3 linked regions of the Struthio camelus genome follow. The protein of the gene in region 1 purifies or fractionates together with the protein of each later gene. This does not show direct contact. Links are inferred from orthologs where the notes say so. Each region holds a gene or a part of one and is shown in the gene's direction. Other genes may lie near its edges.

What was found.
Region 2: the proteins of COPB2 (region 1) and COPG2 fractionate together in Homo sapiens (co-fractionation; 4 studies listed by BioGRID and IntAct, with this or other methods). This does not show direct contact. The link is inferred for Struthio camelus from reciprocal best matches to the Homo sapiens genes COPB2 and COPG2.
Region 3: the proteins of COPB2 (region 1) and COPG1 purify together in Homo sapiens (co-immunoprecipitation; 8 studies listed by BioGRID and IntAct, counting the BioPlex papers as one, with this or other methods). This does not show direct contact. The link is inferred for Struthio camelus from reciprocal best matches to the Homo sapiens genes COPB2 and COPG1.

The regions. Positions count from the first base shown.
Region 1 is NC_090950.1:9,825,712-9,833,315, reverse strand, and holds the start of COPB2 (coatomer subunit beta'), read left to right. Parts: upstream 1-4,602; 5' UTR 4,603-4,702; coding exon 4,703-4,705; intron 4,706-6,150; coding exon 6,151-6,288; intron 6,289-6,401; coding exon 6,402-6,488; intron 6,489-7,604. UniProt on the Homo sapiens protein: The coatomer is a cytosolic protein complex that binds to dilysine motifs and reversibly associates with Golgi non-clathrin-coated vesicles, which further mediate biosynthetic protein transport from the ER, via the Golgi up to the trans Golgi network.
Region 2 is NC_090942.1:2,040,148-2,047,957, reverse strand, and holds the start of COPG2 (coatomer subunit gamma-2), read left to right. Parts: upstream 1-4,798; 5' UTR 4,799-4,903; coding exon 4,904-4,940; intron 4,941-5,506; exon of another isoform or gene 5,507-5,584; coding exon of another isoform or gene 5,585-5,615; intron 5,616-6,659; coding exon 6,660-6,712; intron 6,713-7,458; coding exon 7,459-7,539; intron 7,540-7,810. Other genes in the region: TSGA13 (testis-specific gene 13 protein), read left to right, coding at 1,022-1,201, 2,314-2,429, 2,774-3,002. UniProt on the Homo sapiens protein: The coatomer is a cytosolic protein complex that binds to dilysine motifs and reversibly associates with Golgi non-clathrin-coated vesicles, which further mediate biosynthetic protein transport from the ER, via the Golgi up to the trans Golgi network.
Region 3 is NC_090955.1:6,908,275-6,915,780, forward strand, and holds the start of COPG1 (coatomer subunit gamma-1), read left to right. Parts: upstream 1-4,494; 5' UTR 4,495-4,624; coding exon 4,625-4,661; intron 4,662-7,506. Other genes in the region: ARL6IP5 (PRA1 family protein 3), read right to left, coding at 2,721-2,896. UniProt on the Homo sapiens protein: The coatomer is a cytosolic protein complex that binds to dilysine motifs and reversibly associates with Golgi non-clathrin-coated vesicles, which further mediate biosynthetic protein transport from the ER, via the Golgi up to the trans Golgi network.

The DNA.
Region 1 (7,604 bases):
TGCTGCTAAATAGCATTAATGATTATCCTATTGCTGATTTTAAGGAAATTGGCAGTTTGTGCTCCCTTAACACCTTTTAAAAATGACTAAACCTATCTCTGAGACTTGAAAATACAAGCTGACAGAGGTCCCTTATTCAAATGCAGACGTTCAGTACAAACAAATCTAAACCCACATGGCTGAAGTTTGGCAGAATTACACATCGAAAAGGCAGGCCTGCAATGAAAGTGTCAGGTGATATTATTTTCGGTAGCTTCACATATAAAACTTCCAATCCTTTCTTTACCTACTGCAGTATCTCTTTTCTTTGTATGCAGCTTGTATATTATTGTACTTGAAGCAACAGCTAACATCTGAAACCATCAGTTTATGCACAACTGGGCCACTACTGTTACCACACTGGTAGGTAGCTGGGTTTTAGAGAAAGGGATATTAGCTTTTTCTGATATGAGCCCTACAGTTATTTCAGTTCTGCTGGAAGTTCTGATTTCTTTACTGGTATTTTAATTCCTCGTTATCTTAGTGAGTTTAATAATTTGATCTCTCTATACGAGTCATGAATGTATCCAAGATTAGTATGCTCCCATGAGCATGCGAAGAGACACAGGCTGGATACCTTAGACTGAAAGAGACAAACAATATTCTGTAAGAACGCTGCATCCCTGATCTGCAACAAAGTGAAATCATACAGCTTCAAGGAAGCTTTTAATTCAGATTTACAGTGGGCTTTGTCTCCCAGCTTTGCCACCTAAATGTTAATAATGCCCTTTCTTTAAACACACTGTGTTCCATTAGTCCTATCACCCTCCTAGTTAACGCTGCAATGAGTTTTACTTCAGTTCACTGCACTGCAACTACTAACCCTTGCAAATAAACAAGATTTCACACTAAGTCTGCATATGAAATAAACACTTTGCATTATACTGTAGCGTTGACCCAATTACATAAAAGCCTCTGTGTATTCTAAAAGAAAGGATCTAGTGAGAATAATGTAGTGATTCATGTTAGAAAATAACTCAGAATATTTGGGAAATTAGTAAGCAATCCTTAATGCCACCTCCAGCTAATAAAATCAGTCAAACTCAGAGATGCTGGCAAACTGTGATCCAAAGCAAACAACAGTGATCCTAAGAGGCATTACATAACTCTGTAGAGAATATAAGCTATCACTGAAATCTGGAGAAACGAATGAGAATTTACATAATAATGGTGGTCTCCTGGGTAGAACAATCAAGGCAGGGAAACATTAGACTCTCAAGACTGAGTTACCTACTGGAACAAGCAGTAGCACACACTATATTTATTAAATCAAGTTTGCGTCTGGCTAGGAACACCTGTTAGATTTTTGCTTGAATATCAATTTCCATGCACTGGAGCTAGATTTGACTTTATCTGCAGACCTCTACTCTTTAGCTGAGAGAGAAACTAAATGCACCGGTGTTCATGTTTAGCCTTCTCCTTCTCTGTTAAAATTCATTTGGTACGCTGAGGAGAAACTATAGGTGCTTGTGATTGGTACCCCAAACTACTTTAATTGTTTTCTTGGGAAGATCAATGATGTACAATTTTGTATCTCAAAATGCTCTATCCTGCTTCTAGAAGACTTCTTTTGCCTTACAAATTCAAAAGTTGCCAATAATCTCATAGCCAAAAGGATCTAAGATGAGTTCTCTCAAAACATACGGAATAATGGATTGGCCATCCCGAGAAACAGGAGTCTTGTACAGAGGGAAACTACCTGCAGGCTGAAACACCACTGTAGTGACTTCCTCCTTACTAATTTTACACTTCTTGCTGTAATTCCATTATAGCTGCGGTATTTCTAACTAAATCACCTATAATGAAGGTGTGCAAAATTCCACTATCACAGGACTGCAATACGTTTGTTAGTTTTAAAGAATTTAATGTGTCAGAATGTAATTGCTTCAACTGCCAGCACTTAGCTAGCCAGCTATATAGAACACACTTTTTAAAACAAGAAAATTCCTTTCTAATGCTTTGTGTTTAGTCTTGCAAGAGATTTACTAGTAGCTTTGCTCATACAGAATGTGTATCCTGCAACTCCATATTACCAACTCCTTTATTATAGACACACATCCACACCTTACAGACACGCAATTTGTGTTTCTACAAACAACAAACTTGTAGAATGGTACTAGCCATTGCATTGTAAACATTCTCGGACAGCTTTACCCTGTTTTCTTAAGGAAGCAAGGCCCGTGACTGCACTCTTGCTGATGTGTAAGAGTCATTCTCTCCTCCTCCCTCTCCCTGTCTATGGTGTTAAAGGTTTTGAGTAGCCACAAAAATAACAAAGAGAGAGAAAGATAAACCCAAATTAGTGCACTTCTCCCAGAATAAAGATAATGATAGACTTTTAACAGGACCATGAGGGAATAGCCAACTGTTCAGAGTACGCGTTGCTCCAAAATAAGCTGCTGCAAGTGTTACTTACTTAGCCAAAGAAGCTGGGGTATGAAAGGGGCAATGGGAAACCTAAGAGCAGCACAAAATCCACAAGAAGCAAAGTTTCCTCTGTTCTACTACTTTTGGAAGGAAACATTTTGTGTGCTTTCTTACCTGAAAAACTTCTCTCAACAGATAGGCATAAGAATGGCTGCTGGGTCACATAAAGGAACTCAGAGTAGAGATTTTCTTCTTATCATTCAATAGAAATGTTTTTCTATTGAATGTCTTTTTAGAGATGGCCCAAGGGCTTGTTGCAGTCACTTTGCCTATCACCCAGGTGAAATAATGGCTAATAAGGAGGATACAGAGGGAAAAAACATGAAAGAAAAGCGTATACAAAATAATACTCCTCTGTATAGCCATTTAATTTACAGCAATTTGTGGATCATGATCTTGAGTCAGAACTGGTATCCTTGTGTTGAATAGCTGGGACAGACATTCCATATCCTTATAGTATAGAAATTTTTTTTTCATTGCTTCTCTCCTACTGTAAGGTCATCCTTGTCCCTGTGCCTCCCTTCTGAATTTAGTTCTGTTGCTATAACTTTCCAGGAGGAGTTGATGCAAACAGCAAACAAATTTCTTCCTTTCCCAGCTGTTATTGTCTTGACTAACTAGCTCTGTCTCTTCACCTGTCACTTACCTTCCTTGCTATCTTCGATTCTTCTATAATACCCTCATCTGTCTCTGGCCAGGACCTTGTTGAGCTCTTCGAGGGAAAATATACAATGTGTGTTTTTCTACCCCCACTACCTATGTTCTCTAGTACTGACGTCTTTCCCCTATATTTCTTCTTTCAGTGTTCCAGCCTGTTCCAAACACCTCAGCTGTCTAAAAACCATGAATTAGACTCGAAAATCATAAATTTTACTCACATCATTACTTTTAAGCAAGCTTGTTTAGATTCTACATCCTGAAATTCTGTACTCAGATGTGTTGAAGCATTTTTCCACAATCACTACTATAAACAGGCTTTAAATGAAAGCTGAAATTCTATGTTCTCATGTATACATGAGCTTAAACTCACCCATAACTGCTGAAAACATTGCAACCCTTCTTTTGCTTCTGGCATCTCTCTTCTCGTTCACTCATCAGGCCTGTGTCTTTCTAATTTTAGGTATCTGTCTTTCTGTCTTTGCTCTCTTGGAGTGAAAATAGCAAGAGGTAAAGTAACCTCTCACCCTTTTGTTTCTATGTCCATCAAACCGTGCGCGCTCCAGGGCAATGCAATCCTTCTTCCTGCGTTGTAGGATAGAGCACAGTGGGCTCTCAATTCTCAACTGAGTGCTTAAATTGTATCATCGTAAGCATTTTCTTTAACGGAAACCTAACGAATATAACTATCCTTCTTGTAATTTCTCTCCTTTGTAGAATTAAATGGGGCTTGTAATCTTCAACTGAAGATGGAACTTTTATCTGGCAAACAGTGCTGGAGCAGAATTTTTCAGCGATGGTTCCCCGTGTTTTGGTGCTGCCTGAAATTTCACATTCACCATAATGTTTCTAAGACACTCTGTTTTGGGTAACAGCATGGGTAACTTTAGGTGACAAAAAGATTTATAAAAGGAAAAACCTGCCAGGCAGTGTTTCACATCTACAGGGTCTGCAGGACTGACCAAGATCAAGTCTTTTCACGGCCCGAGAGAGGTCAGCTGGGCTCCTTCCAGCAGCCTGCTCCAGGGCCCCGCTGCGCTCACCACACGGGCCCCAGCCCCTCTGGCCAATGCCACCCTGAAGTGCTTGGAGAGACCACGCTGAGCAGGCAAAGGTGACCAAAGGACCTTTCTCTTCCCCGGGTCGCTCACACTTGGGCAAAGCACACCGGCTTTCCACCGCCGTCTCTAACCGTGAGGGGACCTCACGCGAAGGATTGTCCCTGAGGACGGTAAGGGCCCCACCGCAGCGCCCGCCACGCACAGCGCAAACGCCGCCGCAGCCGTTAGGACCGTTACGGCCGCTCTGAGGCGACAGCACGCGCGCGCTCCCGCTCCCGCTCCCGCGCCCACTACAGCTCCCAGCGTGCCCCGCGACAGCAGCCGGGAGGGGGGAGAGGCAACTACATGTCCCGGCATGCCGTGGGAGGGCTGCTGCCGTATCGCGAGGGGCGAACTCTCGCGCCGGTCCTCTCGCGAGAGCAGCGGGGCGGAAGCTCCACGTCGGTCGGTCGGTCGGTCGGCGGTGGCTGGCTGGGGCTGAGCGACACCTGGGCGCTGCCGCGGGGCCACTCGGGGCGATGGTGAGCGGGGCCGGGGGCCCGCGGTCACCGCCGGGGCCGGGCCGGGCCGGGCCGGGCCGGGCCCCGCTGTGTGAGGGCGAGCGCGGCGCGGCGCGGCGCGGGGGGCGCGGCGGGGGGCGCCGGTGCAGGCCGGGCCGGGCCGGGCCGCGGAGGTGGTGTCGGGCGCTCCCAGAAGCGGCGCAGGCGGGGGTCAGTGTGGGGAGGAGCGCCCTGCCGGGGGCCGCGCAACGCCACCGCCGAGGGGCGGTTTGGGGCCCGCCGGGGGCCCCCTCGGGCACGAGGCAGGGGCGAGTCGGTGCCCGGTCGTCTCTTGCGGCGGTGGCGTCGGCGGGCAGACCCCCCGGCTGCCGAAGTAGCTGCCGTGGAGGTTACCGTTAGCCGCTTATGTTAGAGAAGTTTCAGGGAGCGAAGGCAGAATCGCATGCGCTTTGTCTGGCCTGCTTTTGTAGTGTTTATCGCAGAAACGGTAAACCACAAGTTCGTTCCCTGCCGTCAGGTGTCATGACTGCAGGTTACATGATAGCGAGGTGTTTTTTCCTCCTTATGCTGCCTAACACACGCACCTGCAGGTTTTGCTGGTTTTGTTCTGCTACTCAGGACGAGGCACGTAACGTGTTCAGCGATCAGAGAGGACCCGTCCGGTTCTGAGATGAGATGCTGTTCAACAGCGTCTTGCGTCACCCTTGAAAATCCTTAGGCTATTTTTGAGCTGACGAGCCTTAAGTAAACTCAACAGTTTTTGAGTGTCTGGACAAAGTTATAGTGCCTCAGAAGTTTTAGAAAATCGCTTTGCTGTACTTCGTGCCTTTTGAATTTTAGGTACTTTAGCATTAGACTGCCAGTGATGAAAGTGGAAAGTCACAGCCTGCCTTTTTAATAGGAAGACTTAAACTTTTCCTTTCTACCGGTTTTTACTACATAGTATTACATCTGAAAACTTGTTAGAGTAGAAGAACTTGGTGAATGCAAATTGGTAATGGGCAAGTGTTGTTACATTATTGGTTCTTTCAGTTGTGATAACTAGCTTCTCCACCTGTATTTTCAAGTGAAAGAGAAGGAAGACTTGTATTTTAATGTTTGTATTAGAAGCAAATTCTCTTAACTCTGATTTAGTAGTTCAGGGACATCAGGGAGCTTTGTAAGGAGCTGTGCGGTGCATCTTTTCTTTGCCTGTGCTGTAGATACTACTTACAGTAAGAAAACACTTAAACGTTCACAAAAGTAAATTAAAGGGACCCATTGATATTGGTAGGGATGTGTTTTCAGAAACTTCTACAAAAACAGGCAGACAGGCAGATAAGAGAGAAGTAGCCTCCTTTCTGAAAAGCAGGATTGGCTCCAGTTGTTTTAAGGTTTAACTTCAGCTTTCCTTTCCTTCCATGATGTTTTTATGTTGAATTTATGTTGGAATAACTCTGGTATTGTGAACTTTTTTTCGTTTCTAGCCTCTCCGACTTGATATAAAGCGGAAACTAACTGCTCGGTCTGACCGGGTGAAGAGCGTAGACTTGCATCCCACAGAGCCATGGATGTTGGCTAGCCTTTACAATGGCAGTGTCTGCGTTTGGAATCATGAAACACAGGTGATGTTTTTGTTTTTCCTCTATTGTGTATGAAATACATGTTCTGATGCTAGATACACAAGAAGGATCTTAAATTACTACAAATAATTAATATAATTCTTTTTTTTTCTTAGACGCTGGTGAAGACCTTTGAAGTGTGTGACCTGCCAGTGAGAGCTGCCAAATTTGTGGCAAGAAAGAACTGGGTTGTTACAGGAGCTGTAAGCTATCTTCTTCTTGTGATTTCTGTATATAGTACCATTTTCTGTGATTTGTTTTCATGGCATTCCTTTGTATGTCACTAAGTAGTAGGATTTCATATGAATTTGTAGAAGAGAGAAATAATTCATTATGGTTACCCAGAGATTTTCTCCTTTAAGTTAGCTTTAAAACTTTTAAAAAAAAAAAAAAAAAAAAAAAGAGAGAGAGCATAATGATGTGGCTAATTCTAGATCTGGTGCACAGTAAATCTGGATTCAACTTTAGCTGTCAGCTTGAACGCATTCAGCACCCAAATTTGGCTAAATGTTAGTAGTGCTGCTGTGACTAAGCTGAAACGCTAGACCATCCAAGGTAAAATGAGTTAAAAGTTGCTTTCTGCTTTTGTTCCCGTTTATATTTAAAATAAAAAGTTTAAGAGACGTTTTGTTGGTCTCTAGAAAAATACTTTGCTTTTATTCAGTTAGGTTAGTACTTTAAGCTGAATAGTTGTATTCTAAGCTTGATAACATGTATTTTGTGATGGAATGAACATCGACCAGTTATTCTATATTATTATTACGGCAAACTGAAACAGTAATTATGTCTCAGTTAAAACATTAACAGTATCTTAATGCAGTAACTTCTTACAATTGCATGTATGGAGGCCTCTCCAATATGTTCTTGAATCAGCCTTTAGATTGGTGGTTAAAAAGTTGTACGTGGAAAGCATAAGTAAGTAGACACAGTTGGCTGAAAAGTCAAAGTTTTCTCCACTTATTTTTTTAATCTAAATTGAAGTAATACTTAAAATTTTTATCTTTAAATGTTTTCATTCTAGTCTTCTGCCATAAGAGAGAGAGTAAACAATTTCTTGTTGTTATGTCACGTTTTGTTGCCATGTCACAGTTACTTCAAGTAGGCATAAGTCAGCACTGTTGCCTAAGAGGTTCCATGCTGTTGCTTCTCTACCAGCACAAGAGTTCAAACAGCTGTGTGGGAACTGGCTTGGGAACTGATCCAAGTTAACTGCATTTTTATTTTTGCCAGATTAATTTCACCTAGGTTGGTTCTTCAAAGAACTGATTCACGGTACAGTTGTGCCAGTCTTTGATTTGCCAAGGGAGGCTGTGATGCAG
Region 2 (7,810 bases), on another chromosome or scaffold:
TATTTTTTTTTTAAGTAATTGTTAATAACTTAACTATTTATAGACTGCTTATAAATAGAATCATGCTTTGAGGTTTTATCAGCTCAGTCCACCCTATCAGCTGAAGTGGCTGCGGAGATCGGTGCTGCCGCCTTTAGCAGGACACGGGCTTTGGTTTCCCTGTTAATGGACCGCATTGCTTTCCTTTCATAGCTGGAGGCAGCAGACATGGAAGAGCGTTGCTCTCAGCAGGAAAAAGCGTATTCTGACGTTACTAGCCTGGTAAGCGAAGGGATCGTCATTTCCTTCGGTGGCAAACACGCTGTCTGCCCCACTGCGTTAAAACCCAGCACGAGGAAGCCGTTACCGCTGTCTCCCTTGGAAATGTTCCCGTCAGAAGCAAACGGGCTTGCCCAGTGGTCCTGGAGGAAGGTGTCGGAAAGCGCTCCCTTCTGTTTGCTGCGTCCCAAGCCGTCACTGCCCTCAAGAAGGGGCATTGTTTTCCGCAGCTCAGGTGGTAGCAGCCTATATTGATGTCCGGAGGTGCCAGGATCAACCTCCCTGCTCTGCCACCCAGGGGAGGTCATTGCACCAACATAATGAAGGGTGAAGGGATGCTTCTCCAAGATAAATCTACTCCGCAGCAGGCAAGCTGGAGCACATACGTGAGCTAAGCCCTTACATGGTTTCCTCTGAAGAACAGCTGCCATAGATAAACCTAGGTGGGTTCAAACATGAGCTAGACAACTGCACGAGAGAGATATCAGAGCCTGTTAGATTCAACAGTCCAGCTTCAGCCTCCAGTTGGAAACCACTGGAGTGAGAAAACACTGCAAATTTCAAGTTCTTTTTCTTATGTTCTTTGCACTTCTGGTAGCAACAGGGGTCTCTCCAGGCGGTCCCCTCAGCAAAGACCAGGCCCAGGCAACCCAGGGTTGGTACAGGATGGCACTTCTCCTACTTCTGCAACTGTAAGACGGATATATGGAGCTGGCCCTTCTAACGCAGCTCTCCCTTTTGTCCCATACCGCAGAGAGACTTTATGCCGTTCACCAATGATGCATTTCAGAACCACCTCAATAGCTGCAGAAGATGCATGGCGCTCATGGTCCGATCTTCAATGTTCAATGAAGACAAGACAGCACTGATCACAACAAACAATCCTCTTCCTGACTTGAAGTCTAACCCCACAGCGTTTTTCACCAAGGAGCAATTCGGAACGGTAAAATATGTCACAGTTCAACAACACGCAAGTAATGAGCTTCATGTCTAGGCTATTAAGAAGGTCTGTTTAGGACTGGAGAGATCCCAGAGGCACCGCTCTGAGGAAGGCAGTAACGTTGAGCGAGCTGGGAGGGAGACACTGAACATTGGCTCAATGATTGCGTGGCTTTGGGGCGATGCAGATCGTGTCAATGATCGGATGGAAATCAAACCTTACCCACTGGGTCCACGTCCCGCTGATCAATGAGCCAATCCCTTAGCTCCGCTACCCAAGGGAGTCACCTAGTGCGTGCGGCCACGGCTGGAAAGAGGACCTGCCTTTCGGGGGCGCTCCTCAGTTACACTGTACTAAACATAACAAAAAACCATACCCAAGGACTGCGGGTTTGGTCCTGGCTCTCTGCAGGGTTGAAGTCTGACAGACTTCAGTGACGCTGCCCCATCTTTGTTCTTTGCCCTCACTCCTGTGCCATCACCATGGCTGGGCAGCTCAGCTGCCCGTCCCTGGCCATATGCAGATAAAAACACATCCAGGTTAAAAAGAACCAACAAAACTGGTCCTGCTGCTTAAGGAGTTACAGTCAAAGCAGAGCCTAATGCCTCCATCTCCTGCAGGATTTAGATGCCTAACTTTTAGCTAGAGGAAGTTTGGTGAGATGAGTCCCGTGCTCACTGCTGAGGAATTACACCGACTTTAGTTTTTCTTCAAAGCTGAGCTTCAGTCTCTGTGCCAGCAAAGAGAAACTACAATTCTCAAAAAGCAAACCAGAACACAACTAAGCGCAACTCAAAGAGTATTATTTACTTATATGCCTCAGCTGGCTTCACATGGTGGTTTTGGAGAACATACTTGTTTGCATTAGATTGTATACGTGACTTCTGTACAGCTTCGCACGTTTGGCCTCCATTGCTTCCCTTCCTTCAGCAGTTACTGAGGTTGCTTTTACTTCTCACCCTGCTCATCCAAATTCCCTCATTCCTGGTACAAAACCTCTTTATGTTACCCTGAACAAGTGCCAGGAACTTCTCACTTGGGTTAAGGTGGACGTTTTAAACCCCACGCAGTAATAACTCATATCTACTTTGGTCTAATTTTCTGTTCTCTTGCAGAGGACCTCTCCCAGGAGTCAGATTCACTTTCCCTTGCAGAAGACACAACAGAAAGGGCCAACAGCGCCAAAGGCGACTTTTCCTGCAGAAACGGCTGGGAAACGTCTTCCGTTCAGGTATATCTTGCACATATGTTTTCCTCAGTCCCTCTGTGCTCTCTGTGCTCCCAGGTCCCCGATTTAGAAGGATGCCTAGGTGGGCTGTTATGGAGCCTTTCTGGTACTTGGGGTTGCCAGAGGTGTCTCAGAGTCTGCCGTAGACCCGACCTGTCAAGGAAGAGGGCCCAAGGCCCTGCAATGCCCACTTGCTTTCTTCTGCCTGACCCACAGAAGGGGCTGCTCATTTCGTCATTAGCACAAATTACCGCTAACAAGCATTCAGAGGCATAGCCAAATACCACAGAGCTATCCCGGGGATTTCGGGCTGCTTTACCGAGTCTGGTTTTCGTTTCGCACCTTAGGTTCTCCAAAGACAGCGATTTTGAAGCAGAAGGACGGTTCTCGAAAAGCTATGCTGAGAAGCAAATGAAAAGGCAATATCCACAGCTTCGCTACCAAGCCCCCCCTAAGCCAGGTGCAAAGTCACCGTTCCCTGAGAAGGGGAGGGAGGGATGGGTTGAGCCCAGCCAGCACCCCGCCTTCACCTACCGCAAAGCTGTGATCAGTCGAGTTGGTAAAGGTGGTGAGTGAAGACACCTCTCAGGCACCCAAAGGAAAGCTGTGGCCATCCTAGACCAACGCAGCATTTCAGCTTGCACACATCCAGCACAGGGAGCCATACGGATCGTCCCTTATGTCACTGGTCGGCATCGAAGACCTCTGTGTAATAGCTAAAGCTTTGTGCATGCGAAAACTACCTCAGCTTGACGAGTCTATTTTTAACTTGATTAAGTTAAAAGTTTTATGGACAGGCGGGCCAGCGGTTTCTAGCTGATGAGGCATGAGAACAGTAAAGGTCAGGTAAGGCACGGCGTGCTTCGAATGCCTCATCAGGACAGGCTCTGCTCGCTGCCTTTTCGTTCTCCTTTTCTTCCATCCTCTGTTTTCTTCAGAGTCGCTGCCACCTCTCCACCCGCTCCCCTAATTCACCTCGAACTAATTTAGCATCCAGACCCTTCCTATAGCACTTGTGGGAGACCCCCCATCCTCATTTTCAGCAGAGCCCTTCCCTTTCCGTTCCTCCCCTCTGTAAATGCCAAGCCCCCTGCTCGGTACTGCTTGATCTCCAGTCTCAAGGGCGGACCCGTTGCCTCAGTTCTTCTGAGAAGAGCTGGGCTTCTCCTCTTAATGCTATGAGCAGCAGCTGGACTGCTGGCCAAGGGCGAGGGCTTCGAAGGTAACCAAGAGCAGGGAGCGCGCTGCTGAAAATGAGGGTGTGTAGGAGCGCGGAGCGAAGGGATCCGGCGGCTCCGTATACGCGAGCGCAGCAAGTCAGCAGGGCTGTCTTCGGCGGGACGAAAGCCTGAAGAAAAGCTCACTGGCGAGCTCCTCCTAAAGGGAGGCACCTCCTTGCCTCCCGCTCGGACGAAAGAGAAGCTTCTCACCGAGCAGGCGTTAGGGATCGCCCTTTCGTCTCGGCAGGGGAAGAACCACCGCACCATCCAGTCGAGGTGAAATCCAGTCGGCATGAAATCCGAGCGAGAGTCGAGCGGGGTCTTTTATTTTGTTTAAGTCAAGATCTCTGTTTTCACCTGGTTTCTGCAGCAGGAGGTGCCGGTTCCTCACGAGCCCCGTGAGAAAGGCGCTCAGACGCCTTGAAAACGCCGTTTACCGGAGCTGGCACAAGAAGGAAAAAGAGGATTAGCGCAGATGACATTACGCTCTACCCTCACCCCCTCCCAAAAAAAGAGGTGCAGCGGAGGGGCCCCCAGGCCGGGCGCGACGCCCGCCCTTGGCACGGGGCTGAGGGACCCCTCCAATGCTTCGTTGCAGGCCCGGCGCCGGGGGAGCGGCGAGGCGAACCCCACGGGACGGCGGTGGCCCCGCGGCAGGATCCCCCGCGCCTCCCCTCGCTCTTCGGGAGCCATCGCGGCGCAACCGGGCCCAGCGACGATGACGATGGCTTCAGGCCCGGCCACGTCCCGCGCTGGGTGCCCCTTGAGCCGTCCCGCCGAGCGTGGCGTCAATAAATTGGATTTCTGGCAGTCGAGGAGGGGGAGGGGGTCGCTGAGGGGAGGCAGCGCCCAAAACGCCTCCCCAAAACGCTTCGCGAAATGGCGGCGCGGGCCCTTTAAACCGCCCCTCCCCCCCTCCCGGCGTCGGCTCTGGCCCCGCCCCGGATCTGGCCCCGCCCCGTCCGGCCCCGCCCCGCCGCTCGGCAGGGGGCGTGGCCCCAGGCGAGGCGGAAGTCGCCCCGCTCGGCGCGCCGGGCTCCCCAAGGAGGAGTGGGCGGTGCCGGGAGTTGAGTGGCAGCTACGCGGCCCAGTCGGATGGCACAGGGTGAGGTTTTTTTTTTTTTTTTTTTTTTTTTTTTTTTTTGAGGGGGGGGTCCCCACTCTCTCCCCCGGCCGGGGGCGGGACTTCCGGCGGGTGCTGCCGCGGCTGTGCGGTTCGGGGAGGGGAGGGGGGAGGGGCGCGCGACCGGCGGCGACATGATTAAGAAGTTTGACAAGAAGGACGAGGAGGCCGGTACGGGGCTGGCGGCGGGGTCGGGGCTGCCCAGCCGTGAGGGGAGCGACCAGTAGGAGCCCAACGCCCGCCGCGGCCTGTAACGGCCGCTGGGGAGGGGAGGGAGGAGGCGGGTAACGGCCGCTGAGGAGAGATAATGGCCGCTGGGGGGGGGGTAACGGCCGCTTGGGGGGAGGAATAACGGCCGCTGAGGAGAGATAATGGCCGCTGAGGGGGTAACGGCCGTTTGGGAGGAGGAATAACGGCCGCTGAGGAGACATAATGGCCGCTGGAGGGGGGTAACGGCCGTTTAGGGGGAGGAATAACGGCCGCTGAGGGGGGGGAATAACGGCCTCTAGGGGGGTAACGGCCGTTTGAGGGGAAGAATAACGGTCGCTGAGGGAAAGGTGGGGGGGAGTAACGGCCACGGGGGGCGGCCTGGCGCCTCCCCCGGCCGAGCCCGAAGCCTTCCTCCCCTGCCGGAGCCGTTGATGCCGTGTGTGGAGGGAACCGTGGCGGGGGGGGGGGGGGTGAAGCCATCAGCTTCGTGTTTTCGCTCTGCAAAATCATCTGGGAATGAAGTTCGGCTTGCGTGTGGCGTCTGGTGCTGTCTGGCATCGCTGAGGCCGTATCCGTGGCCTGTTGCTGCTGCTCAGAGATCTCTTATGCCGCGTGGGAAAAAAAAGGCCCCGTTGGGTTGAGTTTAATTTCATTCTGGATTTCGTTCTGCTCGGGGCGGGGGGTAAGAACTGGACTTCCTGTAGGAAAAGGGTCCAGAGGCAGCACCGGGGGCTGCAAGAGGCCTTTTTTTGACCATAAAAGTGATTGCAAGAGGTGTTTTCACTCTGAACCTGGATTAGAAAGCTTGGCTCTGAGAAGTGTCATTTCCAGCGAATTCATTCAGAGCTCTTTAGTTAGGCTTCTACTCACAGATCCCGAAAAGAAGACAATCTCTCTTACCTTTCTTGCTAAACTAAAGACTTCCCTCCACTTTCCAGCGGAGGGACTCAAGCTGTATTTTGGGTATAGATGGTTCTCCGAAACAGGGTATCGGGGTTACACTGCGGAAGATACTTATGTTCCCCTGCAGCAGGGAAAGAGAGGGATTTGGGCTTCACGTCGTGTTTTCATCTCCGAAATCTTTTTGAAGTCCTTTTGCAGATCTTGTTTTTACCTGACAGGTGACTTCTCAAGGTCTGGGTCTGGACTGTTACAAAGCGTGAAGAGTTACTCTGTGAGGCTAGACTAGTATTGAGGATTTTGTGATGGGTAGTAGTCGTACTGTTTTTGAAGTTTGCCAAGTAGCCCTTTTCAGTGCTACCTTAATCAATATACTGTTATTGCAGATGCTTAGCAGCTGCTGCGTCCTGACGTGTTCAGTGCTGTCTGTGCATGAAATGAAAAAAGGGGGTCTAGGAAGAAAAAGAGTGAATAGTCTAGTGTAAAGGGGCTCTTAAGATAGCTTTAGTAGTAAAGACCTTCCTTCCTCCTAACCCTCCAGCTGTGTTGAATCTGTCATCCTTTTTTCCTGGAACTCTTAACCTACAACTTCAGAAAGTAGGTTGAAAGCTGTTGTTGGAGAACATCAGTTATTCAAGGTGTAACGTCACTGTAGCGTTTTTGTAAGATGATTTCCTAACGCTTAGGGATTGTTCCTGCACGTTCTGGGCTGTTGTTTCTAGTTACTTGAATATGTGATAAGTGTGCTTCCCTAACTGAGAGGTCTCTTTTGTTATTCAGGTAGTGGCTCTAATCCTTTCCAGCACCTGGAGAAGAGTGCTGTGCTTCAGGAGGTACGAATAGTCACCATGTAATATTGTTTAACTGTCTGTGATCAGGGATGTGTTAGCAGCTTAAGAAGGAATTATAACGCAAATTGCAGGAAACGTGGATGTCTAAATTTGATGGATAGTTAGTTTAAATTCATAGGGTAGGTAAATTAAGTGCATGTGATTTTCTCTACGAGAGGGTTTTATGCACGGGACTTGGATTGGAATTGGCTTCTCCCTTCCATGTGGATACACAGGATCCCTCAAAGTACCCCTGAAGAGCTGATCTGCCCGTTCTCCTGTGATCCTTCAGCATATTACTAAATATAATAAAGGGTCAATAACGTTCATAATGGATCGTCCTGCTTCTTTTTATGTACTCCAAGAGTAATTGCAAGTGGTGAGATGGATGTGTGATTAAATATTTAGGGAGTTCTTTGGTGTGCTGTTAAGTACGAGCTTAATCATTTCAATTCAGTGTTCCCACAAACTAGTGCTGAGTAGTGTTTGGGCAGTAGACGTTATGAAAAGAACTGAATTGCAAAATTTTAAATTATACTTTTTTTAAAATATTGTTGTTAATGCCAAATGTCCAGCACTGGTCTTGATTAAGCTAGAGCCTGGTGAACTGAGTCATTGCCCTTTGTTCAGAGTGCTGAAAAAATTGTAAGCCACTTGGTTGAAAACAAATTGCTTTAATTTCTGTTCTAAAGGGGAAAATTATTATTGTTGGGTTACGCCATAATACAGGATTTATGTTGCGTTTGTAGGCCCGTATCTTTAATGAGACTCCTATAAATCCACGAAGATGCCTGCACATACTTACCAAGATCCTTTACTTGCTGAACCAGGTAACTGTAATCATTTCTTCCTAACTCAAATGCTTGTTCCTAGGGCTGGTTTCTGATAATTTTCAGTGTGGAAGAAGTTTTATACCTTCCCCTGTCCGACTTGAAAGGCAGCTTTTAAGGATATGAGAAATGGAGTGTTTGCTCTGTAGTACTGTGTTCTCACTTGTGACTGCCTTGCTAAGGTGAGACTTTTCCAGGTGCCAAGTGAGAGCTGTAGGTTGGTCTTTGTTTATTTACTGTGGCACTGTGTAATTAAGAGTTGTTTGTACTT
Region 3 (7,506 bases), on another chromosome or scaffold:
TCACAGTGACAAGGCAAGAATGGAGCATCATCATCAGTGCCCTCACAACTGGGAGAAGGGGCAGTTTCCTTTAGTAACATTCCCCCCCCCCCTAAAGTGGTCTATTGCAACAGAGTTGCAAGAAGAATGAGCACCCCAGTCCTGACTCATTCTTAAAGGTTGTTTTTTCTTTTTTAAGGAAGGAAGTAGTTTTAGTTTCTTGTTCACAGACTTATTATTCCCTGCTTACATCTGTAGGTTGAAAGCAATACACATGATGGTAAAGCATCAAACATCATTTACACGTAACAGTAGCTATCAGAGAAAGCAACTGGAAGGGGAGAGACAAGGGAACCATGCAGCAGGTATTAAAATTCCACTACACTTAAGGTTATTCCATACCTCGTAGAGAGAGGGTGAAAGGTTGGAGATGTCAAATTTGTTGCACGAGAGGCAGTAAATTGAAACCATGGCAATAAGCACTGTACTTCCAACATCAAGAAAGCTACAGGCTACACTTTCTATGTTAGCCCAGCACCACCACAAGTGCCACGCTATTACAATGCTGAAAACATTATCTCTGCGTTACACATCTGTATTTCTAATTTGACGGTTTAAGAGCAGGTATAGTTGGTTATGAGCCAAGACAGTTCTGATCACAAGACGACCACTGCACTAGCAGTTTGCATAATCCTGTCCCTAGGCCTGCATAAAGTTCTGGAGTTCCTGAAAAGTCATGATTCCTCATTTATCACTCAGGAATTCCTGTGCGGTACAGAACAAAGTGCAAGATTACAACTGATAAATTTATATCGATGACTAAGAAGAACTTTCTTTGCCTTTCTCCCAAAACCATGATATGGCCAAGTGAAAACCGTTTAATAGAAGCAGTGGATAGTTTTTCCTCTATTGAAGAGTTACCCTGCTCCCTTTAGAGTTCTTCTCCCTTCCCCTTTTACTTCAGTGTTAGAAGAATCAGATTTGTCATATATCAAGGGCTCTAAGAAGTGCAATAAACAATGAATAAATCTGAGATTAAGATCCAGTTCCAACTGTTTTTTGGTCCAGAATTTTTAACTCAGTGCATTACCACTGAATATTAAGAGCTAGTTGTTCTGATAGTAATCTTTACCTCCTGTGGCTCCCTTCCACCTTCCTCCCCTCCCTCCCAGCAAGGTAGAAACATTGAGCTGGAAATAAGCAGGAGAGGCCTCACACTTGATCTGAACAGAAGAGATGAGAGTACAGAAGGGGAAAGGAATTTAGAAGACTGAATAAGAGTTATTACTATTTCAGTTTTCCAAGCCAGGGATATCAAAACTGTTCCCCACCACCACACCAAGCTCCCTTGGGGAGATGAGTTTTCCCCCTTGCTTTCCAGAACCACTTTGCTTTGCCTAGTCATTTAGGACTCGCTACAATATCTCACTGCTAAACAAGGGCAGATGACACAGAAGTTTAAACCAATAGCGGTGCAAGAATGGCAAGAGCATGGAAGCCTCTTTTTACCACTTTGATAATCTAGTGAGTTGACTGTACCACATCCCCACCAAAAATTAAGAAGAAAATGCAGTGTTTTGGGGCCCCTGCTTTCACAAAAAATAGCTCAAAAACCTCACTGCAACCCAAAGCATCTTAATTGAGAGTCTGGGTCAACAGCTTTAAAAGCTGTAACTAGATACAACTTGTTTAACAAAAACTGGATTTAGAAGATGTATTTTAAGCCTTTGCAACATACACTGCTGCCAAGGCCACTTCAGCCTCATGGCTGGGCAATCCTTCAGTGTAAGCATTTACCCCCATTACAGAGAGCATAGGAAATGTATTCCTACTTCCATATTAAAAGCTTAATCATCACAGGCTCTGCTGCATCTCTTGTGTAAGATCTTGGGTCAAAAAGCTCTTAGAGCAACGCTCGAAAGACAGTCACATAGGCCTTAATTCAAAAGATGGTTAGAAGGTGATTTCCCAAAACTCTTTAGGAAAACCGAGCCTGATGAGAACAAACTACCAGCACATCACCCTGCCCCAAATGAAATGAACGTGTACCCTGATGCATTTCATATTTGAAGCTCTTCAATATGAGTTAGCTCAGGAGTAAGAGAAGTTCATTCTGTTCCCTTTAAATCAATGTAAAACTATAACATACAACAGAATTATTATTATTTTTAATCCAAAGCAGAGTTTAGACAGATTTAAGCAGGAAGTGCTAGGTCACTGCAGAGGATGCAATTTAGTTTTTCAGAGAGCAGCTACATCCTGCACTTAAACCCATCACCGCTTTCTACCAGCCATACCATGCCCTGCAAAAACCCCTCCGTACCTGGGGCTCTCACGTTTGTGCCGAGCCGCCTGGGCAGCCTCAACGGAGGAGAGCGATCGCTCTCAGATTTGTCACCTGTCCCCCCCTCCCCAGATAAAATAAACGTCCTGAACCCTACTCTAAACGCTCACCCACCTTTAAAAAAAAAAAAAGTAAAATAATAATAATAAACAGACACATATACACAAAGAGAGCTGCAACCGGGGCGTTGCTTTTGAAACGTTATAGGTGACGAGAGGCGGCCCGGCGGTTGATGGGGAGGAGGAGAAGGCGACAGGCCGTTTCCCTGCCTCTGCGGGAGCCTCCTGGCTCCGAAATCAGGGCAGCCGCGGGGGGAGCCGCCCCCAGCCCCCCTCACGGGCCCCCCCGGCCCCCTCACGGGCCAGGCCCGGCCCGCGGGCGACGCGCAGTCACTGACCCCACGATGGAGACGACGGTGGCGGCCACCATCAGGTAGTTGGTCTGGTAGTAGAGGAGGTTGCTGACCACCCTGTTGTTCCATTTGGAGATGTCCTTGAAGTCGGGCCGGGCGAAGCGGTCGGAGCCGGGGAAGAAGTCGTCCCAGGCCCGCAGCGGCGCTACCTGCACCTCCATGGCTGCTGCCACCTCCTCCTCCTCCTCCGCCGCCGCCGCGGGCACGGCGGCGCCGCGCAGGCCCTAAGAGCGCAGCGGCGCCGCCCCGGGACGGCTCGCTGGTTGGCGGCGGCGGCGGGCGGCGGAGCGGCGCGGGCGGGCGCGCTCTCGCGGCGGCAGGGTCGATGCGCCTAATTTGCTAATCTGCAAGAGATTGAAGAGGCGGAATGGCCCGGGGGGTGGGGGGATCCGGGTGGTGTGCGCTGTGCGGGGAGGTGGGGCAGCCGCTGGCAGGCCCGAGGAAGGCAGCAGGCGCAATAATCACCCCAGCCGGAGAGGCAGTAGTAAAAAATAACGATACAGGGCTTTTTCGAGGCCCTCTGTATATATATAAACGTATATATACACTGTAAATCCTTCAGCGAGGATGCGTTGGAGGGGAAGCGTAGTGCCAGCAGCCCTGGTGATTCCAACTCCGGTAGCGTATGATAAAATTGGTCCCTTCTGACCTCCGTTTTCTGCGGCTTGCGCACACACCTTGCCCGGGCACACGTCCCGCCGGCAGCTCGGTGCGCCCAGTCACGGTGGCAGGACGATAAAGCCCGACGCGAAGCGGAGGCCGGCAGTAAAGCGAGCGTGAGCGCAGCGCCGGAGGTCTGCACTCAATCGCGCTTCCCAAAGTCGGATTTGGGGAGCCAGAGTCCAAAAAATCACAAACCCTTAGCAGCCCGCGGCGCTGTTGATAAACGAAACACGTTTGCAAACGTGACTCGCAGGTAGCAGCCACCTGGCTGTGGGATATTGTGACATGCCGGGGGCTAATTCCACCTCCGGACTTTGTCCCTCGGCCTCCGACAGGGATCGCGACGCTGCGATGGCGGCGTGCTCTGCCCCCCCCCCCGAGGGGCTCTGGGGGAGATGGCAGGGGGACCCCGGGAGGCAGAGGGGGGATCCCCGCTGTTGGAGGGGTTGTGGGGCGAGGGAGGGAGCCCGCTGCGGGGTCCCGGGGTCGCCGTCGCGGCTCTGGCTCTCAAGGCACCGAGCGCAGGCCTGAACGTGATGGCGGCTGCGGTGAGGGATGGTTGGGGGGGGGGGGGAGGAGGCGAAGGAGTCCTCCTGTTGCCATGGAGATTAGCCCTCCCAGCGGCGCGCCCTGTGCCCCGCTCCATCTCTATGGGCCTGCCGCGCGGCGGCGCTCTAGCAAAGCACCGCCCATAGAGGCGCGGCGGGGCGTTCTTCATCTTTCTCACTCTCCCCAGTCCCAGCGCCCCCATCCCCGTGCGCCCCCCCCAGCCCAGTATACCCCCCCCAGCCCAGTGTGCCCCCCTGAGTCCCAATGCCCCCAGTCCCGGTGCCCCTATCCCAGTGTGCCCCCCGCCAGTCGCAGCGTCCCAGTCCCATTCCACACTCCAGGCTCCTCCCCGCCAATCAGGCCTCGCCCCTCCCTCCCCATCCCCGCCCCTCCTGTCAATCACCGCCGTCTCCATGGGCACACCTCCTCTCGCCCCGCCCCCTGAACTGCACCCCCCCCTCGCCCCGCCCCGCCCGGGGCCAGCCGGGAGGCCACGTCCGGGCGGGGCGGGCCGCGCCTGCGCAGTGCGGCCGGCGGTGGTGGCAGTGACAGGCTGGCAGGAAGGGGCGGGCGGCAGGAAGGGGCGGGCGGCGGCGACAGCGACACCGGCGCGGCGGGACGGGCACGGCAGGGCACGGCGAGGGGCGCTCGCACCCACCCACCCACCCAGAAGCACCATGCTGAAGAAGTTCGACAAGAAGGACGAGGAGTCGGGTGAGGGGCGGCCGGGGAGAGCGAGCTGTGAGGGGAGACGGCGGGGGGGGGAGAGAGGGGGCAGCTATGGAGGGAGCCCCCCCCCCCCGCTGCGGCCGTCGGAGGGGGCGGCCGTGAGGGGAGCCCCCCCCCCCGCTGCGGCCGTCGGAGGGGGCGGCCGTGAGGGGAGCCCCCCCCCCCCGCTGCGGCCGTCGGAGGGGGCGGCCGTGAGGGGAGCCCCCCCCCCCCGCTGCGGCCGTCGGAGGGGGCGGCCGTGAGGGGAGCCCCCCCCCCCCCGCTGCGGCCGTCGGAGGGGGCGGCCGTGAGGGGAGAGCCCCCCCCCCCCCGCTGCGGCCGTCGGAGGGGGCGGCCGTGAGGGGAGAGCCCCCCCCCCCCCGCTGCGGCCGTCGGAGGGGGCGGCCGTGAGGGGAGAGCCCCCCCCCCCCCGCTGCGGCCGTCGGAGGGGGCGGCCGTGAGGGGAGAGCCCCCCCCCCCCCGCTGCGGCCGTCGGAGGGGGCGGCCGTGAGGGGAGAGCCCCCCCCCCCCCGCTGCGGCCGTCGGAGGGGGCGGCCGTGAGGGGAGAGCCCCCCCCCCCCCGCTGCGGCCGTCGGAGGGGGCGGCCGTGAGGGGAGAGCCCCCCCCCCCCCGCTGCGGCCGTCGGAGGGGGCGGCCGTGAGGGGAGAGCCCCCCCCCCCCCGCTGCGGCCGTCGGAGGGGGCGGCCGTGAGGGGAGAGCCCCCCCCCCCCCGCTGCGGCCGTCGGAGGGGGCGGCCGTGAGGGGAGAGCCCCCCCCCCCCCGCTGCGGCCGTCGGAGGGGGCGGCCGTGAGGGGAGAGCCCCCCCCCCCCCGCTGCGGCCGTCGGAGGGGGCGGCCGTGAGGGGAGAGCCCCCCCCCCCCCGCTGCGGCCGTCGGAGGGGGCGGCCGTGAGGGGAGAGCCCCCCCCCCCCCGCTGCGGCCGTCGGAGGGGGCGGCCGTGAGGGGAGAGCCCCCCCCCCCCCGCTGCGGCCGTCGGAGGGGGCGGCCGTGAGGGGAGAGCCCCCCCCCCCCCGCTGCGGCCGTCGGAGGGGGCGGCCGTGAGGGGAGAGCCCCCCCCCCCCCGCTGCGGCCGTCGGAGGGGGCGGCCGTGAGGGGAGAGCCCCCCCCCCCCCGCTGCGGCCGTCGGAGGGGGCGGCCGTGAGGGGAGAGCCCCCCCCCCCCGCTGCGGCCGTCGGAGGGGGCGGCCGTGAGGGGAGAGCCCCCCCCCCCCGCTGCGGCCGTCGGAGGGGGCGGCCGTGAGGGGAGAGCCCCCCCCCCCCGCTGCGGCCGTCGGAGGGGGCGGCCGTGAGGGGAGAGCCCCCCCCCCCCGCTGCGGCCGTCGGAGGGGGCGGCCGTGAGGGGAGAGCCCCCCCCCCCCCGCTGCGGCCGTCGGAGGGGGCGGCCGTGAGGGGAGAGCCCCCCCCCCCCGCTGCGGCCGTCGGAGGGGGCGGCCGTGAGGGGAGAGCCCCCCCCCCCCGCTGCGGCCGTCGGAGGGGGCGGCCGTGAGGGGAGCCCCCCCCCCCCCGCTGCGGCCGTCGGAGGGGGCGGCCGTGAGGGGAGCCCCCCCCCCCCGCTGCGGCCGTCGGAGGGGGCGGCTGTGATGGAGGGAGGCCTGGGGCGCCCCAGGGCAGGAGCCCCCTGCGGTTGGGGGGCAGGAGGCGGAGCGGGCGCCGGGGAGCTGCCGTAAGCCGTCTGGGAGGCAGGTAGGCTGGCGGCACAGAAGCTAGCAAGAGCGACGATGTCCGAGGCCGCGCGTTTTGGAGGAATCCCGCCGTTCCCACGCTGTTGGGATGCCATCTGGTTGGCTGCTCCCAGTTGACTTTTGGGACCCACACCTCCACCCAGAATCATCTGACTCTTGAACGGCCGGGTTGCTCCGCAAAACGTTTTGTGCCAATGTAAAGCAGGAGATGGTTTTAGGGCGTAGAATTTGCAGAGGGCAAAGGCAGGTGCCGGATTGTCACGGTGGAAAGAGACGCTGGTGCGTTGGTACTAGCTTTGTACCCGGGGGTTGAATGGTGCGGAGATGAGTGCAATAAGAAGCACTGTGGAAATATTAGAGCAATCTGCTTTAGTACTCCTGTGATTTACAGAAACAGAGACTAAACCATTTGCGAAGTACTCCGAAGTTACCTACCGCATCATCAGGCGCTGGAGTCAGGGACTGAATCTCAAGCATGTATCCCTCAATCCTGTTCACAGCTGCCCAGCTATCAAAGCAGACGCTAACACAGGGTAGAAACTGATTTGTACCTTCTGGTGCTGGGTTTTTGACACACACACACACACGCACACACACAGTCTGCTCTTCTAACAAGACAGCTGCATACCTCAGTGGGTTTGAAATGCTAAGAGCATCAAATAAATGCTGTTTTTAAAGACGGGTTGACTGACTTTTCAAAACATTACACCTGAGTAATGCCTGGTAAGGAAGCGGTTGATATTTCATTTGGTGTGTAATTCATGTGGAATCACTGTTAGATATGACAGTGTTGAATAGCCATCTGAGTGTTTACTGTGTCTCCTGAAGTGCTTTGATTCAATGTAAATCTTAATGATTGTTCTCTGTAGACTGTGCTTACTGTTTGCTTTAATGTGCATTAAATGCCTTGCCCTAATTTTCAGCTTTTTCAGCCTCCCTTTTCTAGGGATTGTAGACATGCTACGCCATGGGAAATATTGCACTTCTAGGAAGATTTTTTTCAAACCCGTTTCTGGAACCCAGTCACGCACACGTACTAGAATTTTACATTAGTTTTATCCTTTCCCCTTGTTTCCCTTTTTTACCTGTCCTATGTAAATGTCTGTGCTTTGTTCCGCCACCTACTGCATTTACAAACTTATCCTGAGCC